2 linked regions of the Tamandua tetradactyla genome follow. The protein of the gene in region 1 purifies or fractionates together with the protein of each later gene. This does not show direct contact. Links are inferred from orthologs where the notes say so. Each region holds a gene or a part of one and is shown in the gene's direction. Other genes may lie near its edges.

Region 1 (7,756 bases):
GCAGGCAGGCACACGCCCCCGGCACACACCTCCGCTTCTTCGACACCCACTCACGCACCCCAACATGCCCGCACACCTGCCGATTGCATGTTCTCCACCACCTGCCCCGCCCCCATCGCAAATAGCCCCCAGTATCCCCCCCAGCCCCTCCCCGGGCCCCTCCCACCACTCCTCCCCGACACCTGGCACAGCAGCCCTAGCGTCTGTAGCATAGGGTGGCTTCTCTGCCAGCCTCCTCTAGCTCTCCTTTGGCAGCGACTCCCAGCCTGGGGACCCCCAGGTGCCTCTCTACACAGACCTTGAGACTTCCCAGCGACTGGCCCACCCTCTTCCCTAAAAGGACAGAAGGTATTTGGGACCCAAGGTACGGTACCTAGATGCGCGGGGGCGGGGCCCCCGGGGAAGGGGCTCCGCGAGGTGGCAGAGGGAAGCCGGCGCTGAAATGCACCAAAGGGGCGCCAGCTGCCCGACCCGCACGTAGTAGGTCGGTTGCGTGAGGGCTGGAGTGCGCGTACACCGTTCGTGTGCCCGTGTGCGTGTGGGCTGCGGGGAGGGCGGTGTGTGCACGTGTGCTGGTGCGTGCTGGGGGGTGGGGTGGGCAAGGCAAGCCACAAGAACGGCACTCTCCCGGGCTCCCTCGCTCTACAATTGGTTACATTCACTCCTGCCTTCTTTGTCAACGAGCATTTCATCCGCGAGCGCCGGGCGTGTGTCCGGCCGGGACTGGGGACTGGGGACCCGGGCCAGCCCGGGGCCGCCTTGGAGGAACTCCCAGTCCCGCCAGGAGCCAGACCGGGAAACCCAGAAAGCAGGCCCCGGCAGAAAGTGCATTTGGTGGAAAAGAGACTGGGTTTGGCAGGAGCGCTGTCGCTGGGAGTTGTGCTCCTGGCCATGTGACCCGGCCGCGACAGCCGAAATCCTGCCGCTTGGCCCCGGGGAGCGATGCATTTCGGGGGGTGGGGGGCGGCGCCGGTCTCCGGAGACTCCGGGGACTGGAGGGCGCACGCGGCGCGCGCGGAGCCTGCGGGTGGCGGCACCGCTGCGGCCTCCAGGGGGCGCTGGCCGGGCCGGGCGGAGACGGGGGTTCTCCCCGGTGGGCCTTGCCCGCGCCAGGACGCCGGGGAGGGCGGGGGCGGAGGGCGCAGCGCCCACCCTGCGGAGAGTGGCGAGCGCGCAGCCCGCAGCCTGGCTCCGCCCGCTGGAGAGGGCCTGGCGACGCCACCCCCACCCCCACCCCCAGAGCCCGCCCGGGGAGCGGCTGCGGGGCGGGGCCGGCGCCCAGAGCAGGCGCTGCAGGGGGCCCGATGGGGGGAGGGCCAGGCGAGGGTCGGGGGAGCGGGGCTTGGCCGCGCTGGGCCCTGCAGTGCGGAGGTGGCAACAGGTTCCCGTTTGTCCTGCTGCTGGCGCGGCGGGCGCTGCTGGCGCCGGGCACTGAGCGCTCAATTTCGAGATTGAATCCCCCCCACCCCACCCCGCTCCCGAGCGCTTTCTCCCGGGCTGCACGGTCCGAGGGCTCGCCAGCGCGGGTCTGGACCAAGGGGCGCGGGAGCCGCTCAGGAGGTGCTGGGAGACACGGGCCCCGGCACTGAGGGATGGGGTGCGGGGCTCTTGGAGCCTTGGCGTCCCTTTCCTTCGCCATCGCGGAGGTGGCTCCCTCTCCGGAGGGCACGCCTGGGCATTTCAGGAACTCCTTTTCCCCGCAAGTTGGGACCCTCTCTGCAAACACACTAAGTCCCATGGCTGGCCTGGCTGCTCCGTAGGTGTCTTCCAGCTCCGTGTACGTTCCAGCCTGTGCCCCCCCCACCCCACACTGCCCACAGCCTGTCTGAGCTCCAGTCCCACGCACCCAAGCTTGGCACATTGGAGACCCTCCTCGGTGACCCCCCTCGCCCACCCAGGTTCCAAGGCTGCCCGCCCACTCCGAGGTCCCGCACACAGCTGCAGCAGACCCTCCAGGATGGGCATCCTTGCCAGATGGCAGCGGTTGCCCACCTTTATCCCCCTGCTAGGATGAGAAGGTAGAAGGGGGCAGTGGGCCCGGCTGTGGCCCCTGTCCCTCCAAGTCTGTAGGCTCCCGGGAAAGGCAGCCTCAGGGAACTGGGTCAGTGGCTGGAGGCCCCTTGGGTGGTGGTGGTGGGGGTGGGGAACTGGGTTACCTAGAGGTGTCCTGGCTTTCTGTACCCTGCTTTCTTCTACCCAGCATTACCTCACAAGCATTTTCTCACCTTACCCTGAAGTTCATGACACCAGTCTCTTCGTGCACATAAGGGACTGGATTTAACTGCTCTGTTTACTCTTGATACAAATTGCCAAGTTAATTTCCAAAAGGGCTTTGCCCATGTATCATGCTACCAGCAATACAGCAGCATGCCAATTTCACAGCACCCTTGCTAGCACTGCATGTTCCCATTTTGAAAATATTTTACTGTTGTATCAGGTGGGAAGTGTTACCTTGTTCTTTGGTTTGGGTATTTTGTTTTGCTCTCTTTTGTTTTTCCTCCCTTGCCTGAGGTTGAACATTTCCCCCAAATACCTTTTAACCAGTTGCATTTCCCCCTTTAGGCAATAGCTTCTTGTTCCCTGCTGGTCTGTCAGGGTCTTAACCTGTTTGTTAACTCACCTGAGCTTTGTGTTTTGTGCTGCACATTTTGCTCCAACACTACTCTTTGCTTTTGGTAGATTTTCAGCCAAGAAGGGACACAGCCAGCTCACCGCTTTGGAAAGGTGCCCCAATCATGCTACCTGTCCCGCTGTCCTGGCCTTTATCCCATCCCTCTGCTAGCTCCCCGCGTCCTTGTCTATGGCTTATCTGTCCCAGGAAGCTGAGCGCCACATGAGCAAGGACCCTGTGAGTCCAAGTGTATCACCCTATGATGTGATGTGAGCACCATGGAGGCCACTGGGCTTGGCTCCACAAATGGATGCATTCTGGGGCAGGCTAGCGGTGACCTGGGCGAGAGCTGGTCCATTCCAGCCCTCGAGCAGTGCAGGGACGAGGGGGAGTACAGAGGAATCCAAGAGAAAACTTTAAGTAAAATCTACTTCCACCACCACCCCTTGATTTGATGGGAGCTGGGGAGTTCAAGGGAGGAAGCAGAGCAAGGAGCCTGGGGTGACTCCTAGGCTCCTGGCCTGGGCGAGAATGCTGGGTGACAAAGTGGAGGGCAGGGGGAGACAAGTAATGTGCTAAGAGCAGAGGGTGGAATGTTTGGAGCTGGGAGCTCAGAGCTCCTGGGTGCCCTGTTCTTGGGCCAGGCCTGTCCCCATGAAATCAGCCTGGGATACAGCTCTGAGCAGGAAGCTGGCAGTGGGTTTCTGGGCCAGCCCACCAGGCTGAAGCCAGGATGTCCAGGCAGGCGACAGAATGGCCAAGAGTCACCTAGCCAGTTGAGTTAGAGGCAGCCTCTGGGGCAGGGGCACAGGGCTCTCGTCCCCACCCCCTCCCCCTGCCTCGGAGGTGGGGAGGAAGGGGGCGGGGGGGGGGGGGGGCCCAGGCTGGCGCCGGCCTGAGGAGCTGCAGTCGGTCCCCTGCTGGGCCCCTGACCTGCCCTTGGCCCCTGCCCGGGGCCCGTCCCGCCTCGGTGGAAGCCCCGGCTCAGCGCGCCACTCGCGGGGCCCACCCGACTGCTTTCCCTGGAACCCGTTGGCTCGCCGGCCCCCCGGGCCCTCCCCTGTCCGCCCCCAGGCCCCGCCCCGGCCCGCCCCTCGGAAAGGCAACTCCACGTCCAAAGGAAGCGGCTTGCAGCAGGGAAGCTGGGTCCGGGTGCCAGGAAGCAGGGCTCTCTTCCACGTGCGCCGCCGCCGCTGCCGCCGTTCCGCCCCCTTCCCGGCGGTGGGATCTGGGGACTCCCTGCCCGGGGAAGGCGTCCCGTGCCCCGCTGTGGCCAGGACGTCCGCGCGCGGCCACCGGCTGCACGATCGCGCTCCAGGTCTCTCTCCTTTTGTTCTCTCCTCCCGGGGGAGGGGACCGGGACCGGGTCCGCTCCGCGAGGGGCCGCCGAGGTCGGTCACCTCGGCGCCACCTCTGAGCCCGGGCCCGCCCGGCCATGGGGGAGACCTCGGCCTTGAACTCTCCCCACGACCCCAGGCGCGTGGAGCCCAACTCAAACTTGGGGCGGGGGGTAGGGGGGGTGATAGCGGGCAGACGGAGGGAGACACTCAGGCAGGGGCTGTGAAGGGCGGTGGCCGTTGCCTGGGGGTGCCCCACGAGGGCCCGGGGAGGGACCTATGGCCCTTGAAGGGGCCGTTGGACGGCCAACCTGCCCTTTCCGGGGGTAGGGGGGCCCTCACGCTTCCCTTCCCGGGAGGTGGCCGCCTCGGGTGTCAGGCTTGGGGTGCCTCTCCCAGTGGAAGGGCGGGAGAAGGGGCGCAGGCAGTGGCAGGAGGTGGCCCGCGGGAGACGGGGTTGGCTTCCCGTCTTAGCACAGCGCCCCCGGAGCGCGCGGAGGACGCGGGCTCACGCCGGGGACTTGTCCTCTCTCCGCAGCTCCCGTGGCCCGACGTGGCAGGAACCGCGCGCCCATGGAGGGCCTGGGCCGCTCGTGCCTGTGGCTGCGCCGGGAGCTGTCGCCCCCGCGGCCCCGGCTGCTGCTCCTGGACTGCCGCAGCCGCGAGCTGTACGAGTCGGCGCGCATCGGCGGGGCGCTGAGCGTGGCGCTGCCCGCGCTGCTGCTGCGCCGCCTGCGGAGGGGGAGCCTGTCGGTGCGCGCGCTGCTGCCCGGGCCGCCGCTGCAGCCGCCGCCGCCCTCCCCGGTGCTCCTGTACGACCAGGGCGGGGGTCGGCGCCGGCGCGGGGAGGCCGAGGCCGAGACGGAGGAGTGGGAGGCCGAGTCGGTGCTGGGCACGCTGCTGCAGAAGCTGCGGGAGGAGGGGTACCTGGCCTACTACCTCCAGGGTAGGTGCGCGGCGGCGGCCGGCGGGGAGCTTGCCCTCCCTGGGGGGTGGGGGGGTGGAGCGGTCATAAGTGATATTGACCTTGGGTAGGTCCCACCTCATCTGGGCTCAAGGGGAGCTGAAGGTGCTGGGGGGCAAGGGGCCAGGAGAGGGGTGCTGAGCATAACCTTGGGCAAGTCCTTTCCCTTCTGGAGCCCTGATATCTGGATCTGGAATATGGGGAGAATTTGGGCCCACCCGTCCCAGCTCCACGGAATCTCAAGAACAAAGTGTGGGTGCAGTCGCCCTGCCTCCTCCCAGCTGCTGAGAAAGGGATGACAGGGAGACAGAGCCAGATGCCATCCCGCAGATGCTGTGAAGGCCGGAGCCCAAAGGGGCAGGGACCTGCCTCCCCCACTGCAGCCTGCTCCCACCCCAGTGCCCTGGCAGGGCTGGGGCTGGGGGGCAGGGGAGAAGAGGAGGCAGGGTGCTAGAGGCCTGTTGACTCCTTGCCGAGCCACCCACCCCCACTCCCACCAAGGCCCAGGGCCGTGCAGCCAGCTGTCCCTGCCTCTTTGCCTGTGAAGGAGTCAGAGGACTGTCATACCATGAGCCCTTCTAAAGGCACCAGAATATATAAATATAGAAGGCCTTAGATTTCCAGCCCCCAGCCAGGAGAAATAGTAGGTGTTCAGGTGGAATGTCACACTCTCTTCCAAGTCACCTTCTTTGAGGTCCCACTTCGTCCCTGAAGAGGCCCTGAGATGGCTGTTACCCAGCCCCTGTCCCCAGGATGCTTCTGCTTTTGATCTGTGGATCAGAAGTTGCCCACACAGAAAGCGCCATGAAACAGAGCTGAGTGCTTTCTCTTCTTTAACTGATGGCGGCTGTCCTCCTTGAGGCCACCAGTCCACCTAAACACCATTGAGCCCGCACGCCTGCCTGGGATCAGCTCCTGGGGCGCACGGGTCTGTTGGGGTGGGTCTGCCTGGCCGGCTTCGAGCGTCCCCCAGAGGCTGCAGCGGGCACTTGCCCTCCAAGACCGAGGCCCACGGTGTGGCGGAAAGGTGGCCCTGCACCTGCTGTGGGTCCGGGTACTTCTTACTGAGCTTTGGGGACACCTGCAAACGTTCCCAGGTGTCCAGGGTTGGCAGCGGGGTGGGGGCTGCTCCGGCTCAGCTGCTCGGCTGCGCAGAGGGCCAGGTCAGCAGGACCCTCCCCCTCTCCCTCCCCCCCACCCCCCCACAGGTGGCTTCAGCCGATTCCAGGCCGAGTGCCCTCACCTGTGTGAGACCAGCCTGAACGCCCGCGGGGGGCCCAGCACGGCCCTGGCGGCCGGCCCGGTGCCCGTGGTGGGGCTGGGCAGCCTGTGCCTCGGCCACGACTGCTCAGACACCGAGACCGAGGGTGACCGTGGCCCCATGAGCTGTGGTCTGGATTCGGAGGGCAGCACCCCCCCGCCAGCGGGCCTGCTGCCCACCTGCCCCGTCCAGATCCTGCCCAACCTGTATCTGGGCAGTGCCCGGGATTCGGCCAACTTGGAGAGTCTGGCCAAGCTGGGCATCCGCTACATCCTCAATGTCACCCCCAACCTCCCCAACCTCTTTGAGAAGAACGGCGACTTTCACTACAAGCAAATCCCCATCTCGGACCACTGGAGCCAGAACTTGTCCCAGTTCTTTCCAGAAGCCATTGCGTTCATCGGTGAGCGCGCCCTGCCCTGTCCCGCCCTGCCCCGGCCAGCCCAGGCTGCAGAGCAACGGGGGTGCGGGGGGTGGGAGTGGGGGGACATGCTGAGTCGCCCTCCCCAGAGGGAGCAGGTGGCAGCTTCCACGCGGGACACCCGGGCCCGACCCTGCGACAGTCCGCGCCCCCACCCCCCCCCGGGCCCTGGCCTCACGGTGGCCGTTGGCTGTCCCCCGCCCCCCACTCCCCACCCAGATGAGGCCTTGTCCCAGAACTGCGGGGTGCTCGTGCACTGCCTGGCCGGCGTCAGCCGCTCTGTCACTGTCACCGTGGCCTACCTCATGCAGAAGCTCCACCTGTCCCTCGGCGACGCCTACGACCTGGTCAAGAGGAAGAAGTCCAATGTGTCGCCCAACTTCAACTTCCTGGGCCAGCTGCTCGACTTCGAGCGCAGCCTGAGGCTGGAGGAGCGGCGCTCCCGGGAGCGGGGCAGCGGGGGTCAGGGGTCCGCCGCCTCCGAGGACCCCCCCTCCTTCTTCACCACCCCCACCAGCGATGGCGTCTTCCAGCCGGACCCCACATAGGGCCCCGAAGGCCCTCGGGGTGGGGGTGGGGGTGGAGGGCTGGGCGGCTGGGTCCCCACCCGTACCCACTGCCACCCCCACCCGCTGCTCCCACCCACCTCCTGTCTTGGTGGGGGGAGCTCATGGGAGGGGACCCAGCTATAAGTGGGGGGCGGGGGGGGGAGCACAATCCTTCTCATGGGGTGCTGGAAAGAAGCCGGAGCCGGAAGCCTGGAACACGCGAAGATTGTGCCTCCAGGGTAGTGAAGCGGGGTGGGGGGGGTAACTTGTCCCACCCACTTGCGACATCCACGGGAATCCTATTAAATGTGCCTACGGGCCAGGCTCGGTGGCCTGACCCGCCGCCCTTTCGGGTGGAACCTCGCTCCTGAACTTGCCTCTTCTGCGACTGTTACTTTTTTTCTTTGGGGGGTGGGGGGCCGCCCATTCCGAAGGACCCTGCCAGAAGACTGCCAGTCCCCGGGCCTCCCTGCTCCCTCGGCCCATTGGGGAAGGGTGCGTCCTCTCCAGCCACCTCATGTGCCAGCAGGGACCTGGGCCCAGGTCCCCCCAAATGGCTGCTTTGCAGAGGGGTCCGCCTGCCAGGGGGTTGGGGCGCCGAGGTGGAGCGGCCC
Region 2 (8,003 bases), about 42 Mb from region 1:
AGTCTTTAAATTTCTTAACATGTTACTGCTTTTTACAGTAATAAAAGTAATTTATGCTCTCTATAAAAGAAGCGAAAAAAAATCACCCATGTTCTCAAAACCCAGAGATAACCACTATTAACTTTCTGGTGTATTTCCTTCAATTTTTTTTTCTGTGCATGTGTAACCATATCCAATTCAGTTCAATTGCATGAATATTTATTGAGCACTTATTATATGTCAGGTACTATCTTAAGTGCAGGGGACACAATAGTAAGGAAATGAGACAAATCTCTGTTCTCATGTAACATATTCAAGTTGGAGGAGATAATTTTTTTCAATGAATAAATGATATTGTATATTAGGAAGCAGTAAATGCAATGGAGAAAAATAAAGTAGAGAAGGGGATTGGGGAGTGGGGGGTGAATATTGCAAATTTCAAAGAGGTAAGAGAATGATCCATGAAGATATCTGGGGAAGAGCATTACCAGGCAAAGGGGTTCACAAGTACAGAGACCTCAGTTGTTTGAGGGACAACAAAGAGGCCACTGTGGCCAGAATAGAGTGACAGGGGTAGGAAGTGGTAAATGAGGCCCTAATGTCCTAAAGAAACATTGGGGTGAAATGGCTGAGCTGAGTGGGATGGTGTAGATCCTCTGTAGGGACTTTGGCTTTTACTCTGAGTTAGAGTGGAGCATTTTTGGACGCTCCGGTTTCCGGTTTCTTGCTATCATATGTCAAGGTTTGTGATTTTTCTGTTCTAATCTCTCTTCACATCTCTGAATACTTCTCTAGAAAAAAATTCTAGAAATTAAATTCCTTGTTCATAGATTATAAATAACTCAAGGCTCTTATACATATTGCCAAAGAGCTTTCTAGGAAGCCTGTACCCAATTAATTTAATTTAATTCAGCAAATATATGTTGAGTGCCTACTATGTGCCAAACACCATCTAGAGGTTTGAAACACATCAGTGAAACAAAACAAAGATCCCTTGTGGTCTAGCAAGTTCACTCTTGTCAACATTGTGTCAGAGTGTTCATTTTGCTATATGCTTGCCAATAGACAAGTATTACCCATTCTTAAAAACTGATTATCAAATGAAAAAGAAGGTGCCAGTAACTTGAATGATGAAAAAAATGGAACTTCATTATTATTTTCCTTTGGATTTATTTGATTATTAGTGAGGTTGCATTATTTCCCATACATTTTCAAGCTAATCAGCCAATTGTTCTATTTTTCTTTAAAAGCTTTTGAAAATAACTTAAGGAGGCAAGAAGTTTGGGAACATTAAAAAAGAGATGACATTAAAATACGTCCCATATCTTAGAAAATAGGTAGTCCTCAGGTCAATTACTTAGACTTTAGGAATTGATTTGAAGCCCACGAGCATGTATAATATAACTCTCTTGTTCTGGGGGAAAGATTTTTAAGTCAGAAGCACCCTTGCTGAGAACTGTCACCCTAGATGAGGCATTTCCATTGCATATTGTTTCTGACATGGACCAGAACGGTGTCTTCAACCTTCAACAAACTCAAGGTTCCAATGTTAGTTAACAACCCACTTCATTTCATATCAAATCTGATTTTATATTTTCAAATGGCATCACTTCTGAAGTTTTATATCACATAAATTGTCTACCCTGAAGCAGGACTCCCTTTAATCCATTACCCCTTCAAGGGGACACACAGGTATAATGGAAAGGACACTGGACTGTGCTAAATGAAAATTATAAACCACCCCCAGCCCTCCACCATTTTCCCCACTGCTAATAGTGGGGCTTCAATTTGCCTTCTGTATCTTTTCATAGTTTGAATTTTCCAGCCTTAAACATATATAACCTTTTGAAAATGGCAAAGATGTTATCTAGGCCTAGAGCTAATAGGCCTGATTCTATTTTTTACTTTGTGTCTCTCTGTATTAGGAAAAACCTAATAAATCATGTATTATTTAAAGTTTTTCCCAGTTTTGTAAAACAAAATCTGTGGCATATGTGTGGGGGGTTGCATAAGTCTTCAAGAAAATATAAACCAAATTGTTCATAGTGGTTGGGAGCTGGAATGGGAAGAGGGAGAAAATGAGTTTCTTTTTTTTTTTTTTTTAACTTTATATACTTATGTATTGTTTAAGTTTGTTATAGAGAACACATATTACTGTTCTACATTTTTCAGAAGAGAAATAATAAACCATTTTTTCCTGAGGCTAACAGTGGCATGTACTCATTGTGGAAAATGTAGAAAAGTACAAAGAAAATACTAACAATTCACAACAGTTAACATTTTAGCTTGTTTTCTTTCAAGCTTTCTTTTATGCATTTTTTTTTTTTTTACATAATTGAGTTCATACAGTATATTGGTTTGTATCCTGTTTCTCTCGATTAGGACATTTTCCCATGTCATACTAATATTTGTATGGCTGCACCATATGCCACTTTATAGTTTTATAACAATTCAAGTGGATTGATTAATTAGCCATTTCAGTCAAAGTGAACATTTAGGTTGTTTCCAGGTTTTCCATATTAAAAATTATTCTCTGATGAGCATGGTAGCAATGAAATCTTTGCCTGCATTTGTAAGTAGTTTCTCGGGATGAATTCCAAGAAGTGTAATTACAGGGTTGAAGAGTAGCTTGCTGGAAGTGGGATTAATGGATAGAAACATTTTTTTATGGCTAGCAGAAGGTTATACCAATTTCTTCTTCCCCCAAGCAGTGATGAGAGTCTCACCACTCTCTTGCCAGCTTTGCATGTTATACTTTTTTTCTTTCATTTTTCTACTCTAAGTGAAAGTGGTATCTCGATTTTTTCCTTTTATTACTAGCGTGACTCAAAATTTTTTATAGAGTTATTCCCCATTAGTATCATCTCTTTTGTGAACTACTTGTTCCAATGCTTCCCATTTAGTGACAAAATCTTATGGATTTCTTACCAATTAAAATAAGCTCTTATAGAATATTAGCCCGTTGTCTGTTAAGTTAGTTGCAAATGAAACTATTTTTCACAAGTTTGTTGTTTTTTAAAATTGTTTTGGCCATACACGTTTTTAAGAAAAGATAAATGGATTCTACCCAACACCGAGTGCCCTCAGTTTGAGCCTCAATTTCCCCATGATTAAATTGAAGAGGTTTGACAAAAAATCTAGAAAGGCCGTTTCGGCTAATTCTAAATTTAACTCTTTGAGGAAAAAAACTGCGTAGGCCCGATTTAAAGTTATCGTTGTCGCTGTTCATATGCCTTTAAAATATTTTACGAAGATGAGGGGGAGAGCAGGGAATAGCAGCAGCTTTTGCCAGTAATGTTTGGCCCAGTCAGGTTTTAGAATTCTGACTTAAGGAGCCAGTTCTTTCCTCGAGTCTCCTGCGTGTTGGGTGGGGGAGTAAATTATGCGCAAGCGAACAGAACCCTTGATGGAAAAGTACTGCTCTGGGCTGCAGATGTGTGCATGGCTTGGTTTTAATTATTTTCCCCTCTCTCTATCCTTTCTTCCGCTCCCCTCCCCCTCCCTCCCTCCCCAGGCCACAATAAAGGGGAGTGCCAGATTAGGACTCTGGATGGTAGAGTCAACCCTCCCTTCTTACACACTTCTGTGCAGCCAGTTAGTTAGCACATCAAAAGCCCGGATGAAGTACCTAAGAAGGGAGGGGGAGGAAAGCTAGGATCCTTTCTAACTCCTGCCTTCCTCCGTACTCCAGCTCAGGGTTATTGTGACCGCCAAGGGTAGCTCGACAGATTGCAAACAGAAAAATGCTGCCAAACAAAGAAACTTTGGCCATTATTCTGAACTGAACATTGCGTGCTGAGCCTTAAGCAAATCAGAGTTTGCAAAAGGATTTCGTTTTCCCAAGTACTGACCCACAGTAAATCGGGGGATCTAATTCTTTCTCCCAGATATTGGGAGAGTTGTCAGAAGGGCCTGTACACCCACTTTAGTCATCCCAGGGGTGTCCGTCCCACAACATCTGGGGGAGGGTCGTCAAAGAGAACGAACCGGGGCGGGGATCCCAAGGTGAAAATTGGTAGCCCGGGTCTCTAAAGTGGAAAAAGGGAGCTCGAGGAATGAGTTTCTTGTCTCCTAAAGAGAGCTTTGCGGTTCCCTGGGGGTGGCCGGGACGTGATGTGAAGCTTCGTAATGGAGCCGGCAAAAACCCCAAGCAAGAGAAATGGAGTCGGTGTTTGGCTAGCATCAGGTGGGGGAGGAGGCCTCAGACGGAGCTTTACCAAGCCAAGGCTCTCACAGCGGGAGGGTCTGCGAGGAGCAATGGGGGGAGGGGGGTGCCGGGGAGGGATGCGCGCTGCGTGGCTGTTATAGAAGCTGGCAGAGGCTGATGAGAGGCCCGCGCAGGGGCCTCGCAGGTAGAACCGAAGGGCGGGCTGCGATCGGCGGAAAAAGAGGCAGGATCTGGCCTGGGCAGTGGCGGGGGAGTGGGGTGGGGTGGCGGTGGGGGTGGGGTGGGGGGTGAGGAGCAGGACCGGAGGCAACGAGGGCCCCCCGCCCCCCCCAGCCGGCATAAGCGGGACTGAGCCCAGCAGGGCACCAAGACCGCCACGCTAGAGGCGGGGCTGGGAAGCCCCGCCTCCGGCCCCGCCCCTCGCCCCTGGCTTGTGGTCGCTCGCCGCCTAGCGCCCCGCGCCACTCGCTAGCTGAGAGGGAGAAGGAAGCGGCTAGTTCCAGAGCCCTACCTAGCCCAGTCCAACCTTTGCTCCAGAGATCATGGCTGCCGAGGATGTGGCGGCTACGGGCGCCGACCCGAGCGACCTGGAGAGCGGCGGGCTGCTGCACGAGATCTTCACGTCGCCGCTCAACCTGCTGCTGCTCGGCCTCTGCATCTTCCTGCTCTACAAGATCGTACGCGGCGACCAGCCGGCGGCCGGCGGCGACAGCGACGACGACGAGCCGCCCCGGCTGCCCCGCCTCAAGCGGCGCGACTTCACCCCTGCCGAGCTGCGGCGCTTCGACGGCGTCCAGGATTCGCGCATACTCATGGCCATCAACGGCAAGGTGTTCGACGTGACCAAAGGCCGCAAGTTCTATGGGCCCGGTACGGCGGCCGGCAGAGGGGCGAGAAAACAAAAGAAGGGGACCCTGGCACGGGGCAGGGCCCAGGAGAGGCGAAGGGGAGGGCGAACCTTGAGGAGAGCAGAGCGGTCGTAGGTGGGGCGGCTCCCCCGGCAGGCAGAGGAGGCTTGAGAGATTCGGGCGGGAGGGCGGCGGGCCTGTGGAGGGCGCATATCCCGGTCCCGCGCCGCTCGCGCGGAGATGGAGGCATGGAGGAAGATTGTGGAGCTTAGGCCGGGCGTGGGTGGGACGCGGGGTGTTGGGGGAGTTTCCAAAGGTAATGGTTTGGGAATTCTTGGAAGGGAGGGGGTGGTGTCGGGCTCGAGAAAGGAAATGAGGGTGTCTCGAGGGAGAAATGGAAGGGGGGGTGGGGAGGGCTGAAGAGGGAGGTCCAGGCTTGGAGAAGACGCGAAGGCCAATGACGCCGGGAGTAGCCATGGTGGAATGTGGGGGTTTGGGAGATGGGATTAGCAGCAGGTAGAAAGAAGCATTGTGTATGATGGTGGGGGTTGTGTGTGCGTGCACGCGTGTGTGTGTGCACAAGCGATGTGTGTGTACACTGTATGTGGCTTGTCGGGTGTGTGTGCGCACGCGCGTGCAGACTTGCATGTGTCAGGTATGTGTGTGGCATGTGTCTCGTATGTGTGTGCGCGTACTGTGTGTGGCAGACGGGGAAAAGCTGAATGATGAGCAGGGAGGCTCCATTGGAGAAAGGGAACTGATTTCAGTGAAGAATAAAAGCTGAATGTGGTGGACAAGGATCATGTGGCAAGATGATAAGGTAATGCAGTATTTAGTGTAAGCAGGAGAGAAAGGACTAGAAGCCAAAAAAAAAATTTTTAATGGAGGGAGGGAGAAGTGGGAGGATCCTGAGAAACAAAAGGGGTGGAGCTAGGAAGGCTGCTGATTTGGGCGGGCGGGGCGGGGGTGGGGGGGGTTGGATTTCAGAAGCCAACCAGAAGGGGAATGAGGAATAGATGACTGCTAAGCCATTGGAGGGGGCAGGCTTGAAGGGTTCCTTAGAGATGAGGCTTTTCTAAATCCAGTTGCGCATCAGGAATAGATGACTGCTAAGCCATTGGAGGGGGCAGGCTTGAAGGGTTCCTTAGAGATGAGGCTTTTCTAAATCCAGTTGCGCATCAGAGTCACCTGATGCACTTGAGGAAAAATACTGATTCCTGGCCTAACCATCATAACCGTGGAAGAGGAGTCTTTGTGGGTGAAGTCCAGGAATCTGCATTGTAACAAACCCTCCCAGTCGAATTTGAGAAGCAGACAGGTTTGGAAAGTCTTGCTTTATAGACTATTCGTAAGAGAAAGAGATTTTAGCTCCTCCAATATGGACTCCTAAAAACAGGCAACTCGGTGAGTCCACATGGACAGCGTTCTCTTCTGCACTGGCCTGGAGAGAGGGAAGGGTATAGAAGGCAGCAATCCCATCATCCCACTTCTGCCTTCTTATTCTCCCAATCCAGTTAATCAAAATCAAATGTGTTAAGATCCTTAAGTAACACCCCCACTTAGTTTTTCCTAGTGGGCAGTTTAGAAATGCCTAATTTCCATAGGCATGTAACTGTCAAAATAATTTGAAAATCACACCGATATTATTTGTCACCTTTATGGTGTACCTAGAGGCATTAACAATTAACATAATCATGTCAATACCCTGTTATTATTGAGCTACACCATAAAGTAGGCAAAGCGTGGGCATCATCACATTAAGAGTTAGCAAAGTCATTGAGAGGAGTATAGGTCTGAGCACAGGGCACAAAACTGGAAGACAGGCAACAGTGGATCTCAACTTGGTTGAGTCACTGACCGGCTGACATCTTAGAAATCTTTGTTCTCCATGGGCCTTAGTTTTCCATCTGTAAAATTAAAAGGATAGTCCATGCTGAGGTTTCCCACGTCTCTCCATCCTGCACTGTCATCCACTGAGCCCGTGATTATATGAGAACTTTGTATGGAAACGATACTTCGTGTTGTAAAGGATTCCTAAAAATTCTTCGAGTGCCTACCAGTTTATGCCAGGCACTGTCATAAGTGCTGGGAATATATCAGTGAACAAAACAGACACAAATCTGTGCTCTAGTGAATATATGTTGTGAAGATTATGTATTCTCCAAAGGCTTATACCCTTTTCTTTAAGTATACTGTGAGATTTGTAAGGTAAACCCCCCACCTCCAATCCAGTGACTAATTTCTGAAATGGCGAGGTCCAAAACAATACAGTTTGCCTATTTTCAAGCACTTAGTGCTACCATTCCCACTAGAGGTATGTTTGTGGAAAATCTATGGAAGTTTTTTTTTTTAACTTCTCTAGTGGAAATGGCAGCACCTAATGATTAAAAACAACCGTTTTTCTTTGGAATCTTAATTGCCTTTAAAAGTTTGGTCATAAAATTTATCTAATTGGTAAAAATTTCCTGGTGGATTGAGATTTGAGGTTTGAGGTGAATAGGCCATGTTGAAATCTGAGGCATTCTCACACTTCTCATAGTGGTTACGTACAAAGTTTTTAATGTCAGTTTGCAACTCGACCTGCCTTTGGGGAAATAACACATCATTTAAAGTACACTGAATTCTTTTCATTTACTTGTGCAATATTTAAATAAGTCTAAACATCTACCTTAAGAACCTACAGAATGATTTATTGCTTTCTTAGACAAACATTCAGTACAATATCATATAGAGTAGTATTCTAATGTTCAATAGAACTATTTAGGGGTATTGATTCAAATTTTTTTCTCCATGAAAGTTAGTATTTTCACAATCTTTTCTTCAAGCCCATCAAAAACAGGTAAAGGAGCTGATCTCCTAGGTGCTGTCTATTGACAGTGAAGGTTATATAACATGGATAGATTTTTGAATCACCAATGTTCTTATAAAGCAATTTGTTCTGAAGATGCCAGATGTTAATGTTTGAGTCTTGCACCCAGCTATCTCTATAAGAAGACTCCTTAAAAAAT

The links.
Region 2: the proteins of DUSP9 (region 1) and PGRMC1 purify together in Homo sapiens (affinity purification with mass spectrometry; 3 studies listed by BioGRID). This does not show direct contact. The link is inferred for Tamandua tetradactyla from reciprocal best matches to the Homo sapiens genes DUSP9 and PGRMC1.

The regions. Positions count from the first base shown.
Region 1 is NC_135353.1:5,850,840-5,858,595, forward strand, and holds the start of DUSP9 (dual specificity protein phosphatase 9), read left to right. Parts: upstream 1-4,515; 5' UTR 4,516-4,521; coding exon 4,522-4,894; intron 4,895-6,120; coding exon 6,121-6,576; intron 6,577-6,813; coding exon 6,814-7,142; 3' UTR 7,143-7,756. UniProt on the Homo sapiens protein: Inactivates MAP kinases. Has a specificity for the ERK family.
Region 2 is NC_135353.1:47,765,592-47,773,594, reverse strand, and holds the start of PGRMC1 (membrane-associated progesterone receptor component 1), read left to right. Parts: upstream 1-4,574; 5' UTR 4,575-4,689; coding exon 4,690-5,017; intron 5,018-8,003. UniProt on the Homo sapiens protein: Component of a progesterone-binding protein complex. Binds progesterone. Has many reported cellular functions (heme homeostasis, interaction with CYPs). Required for the maintenance of uterine histoarchitecture and normal female reproductive lifespan.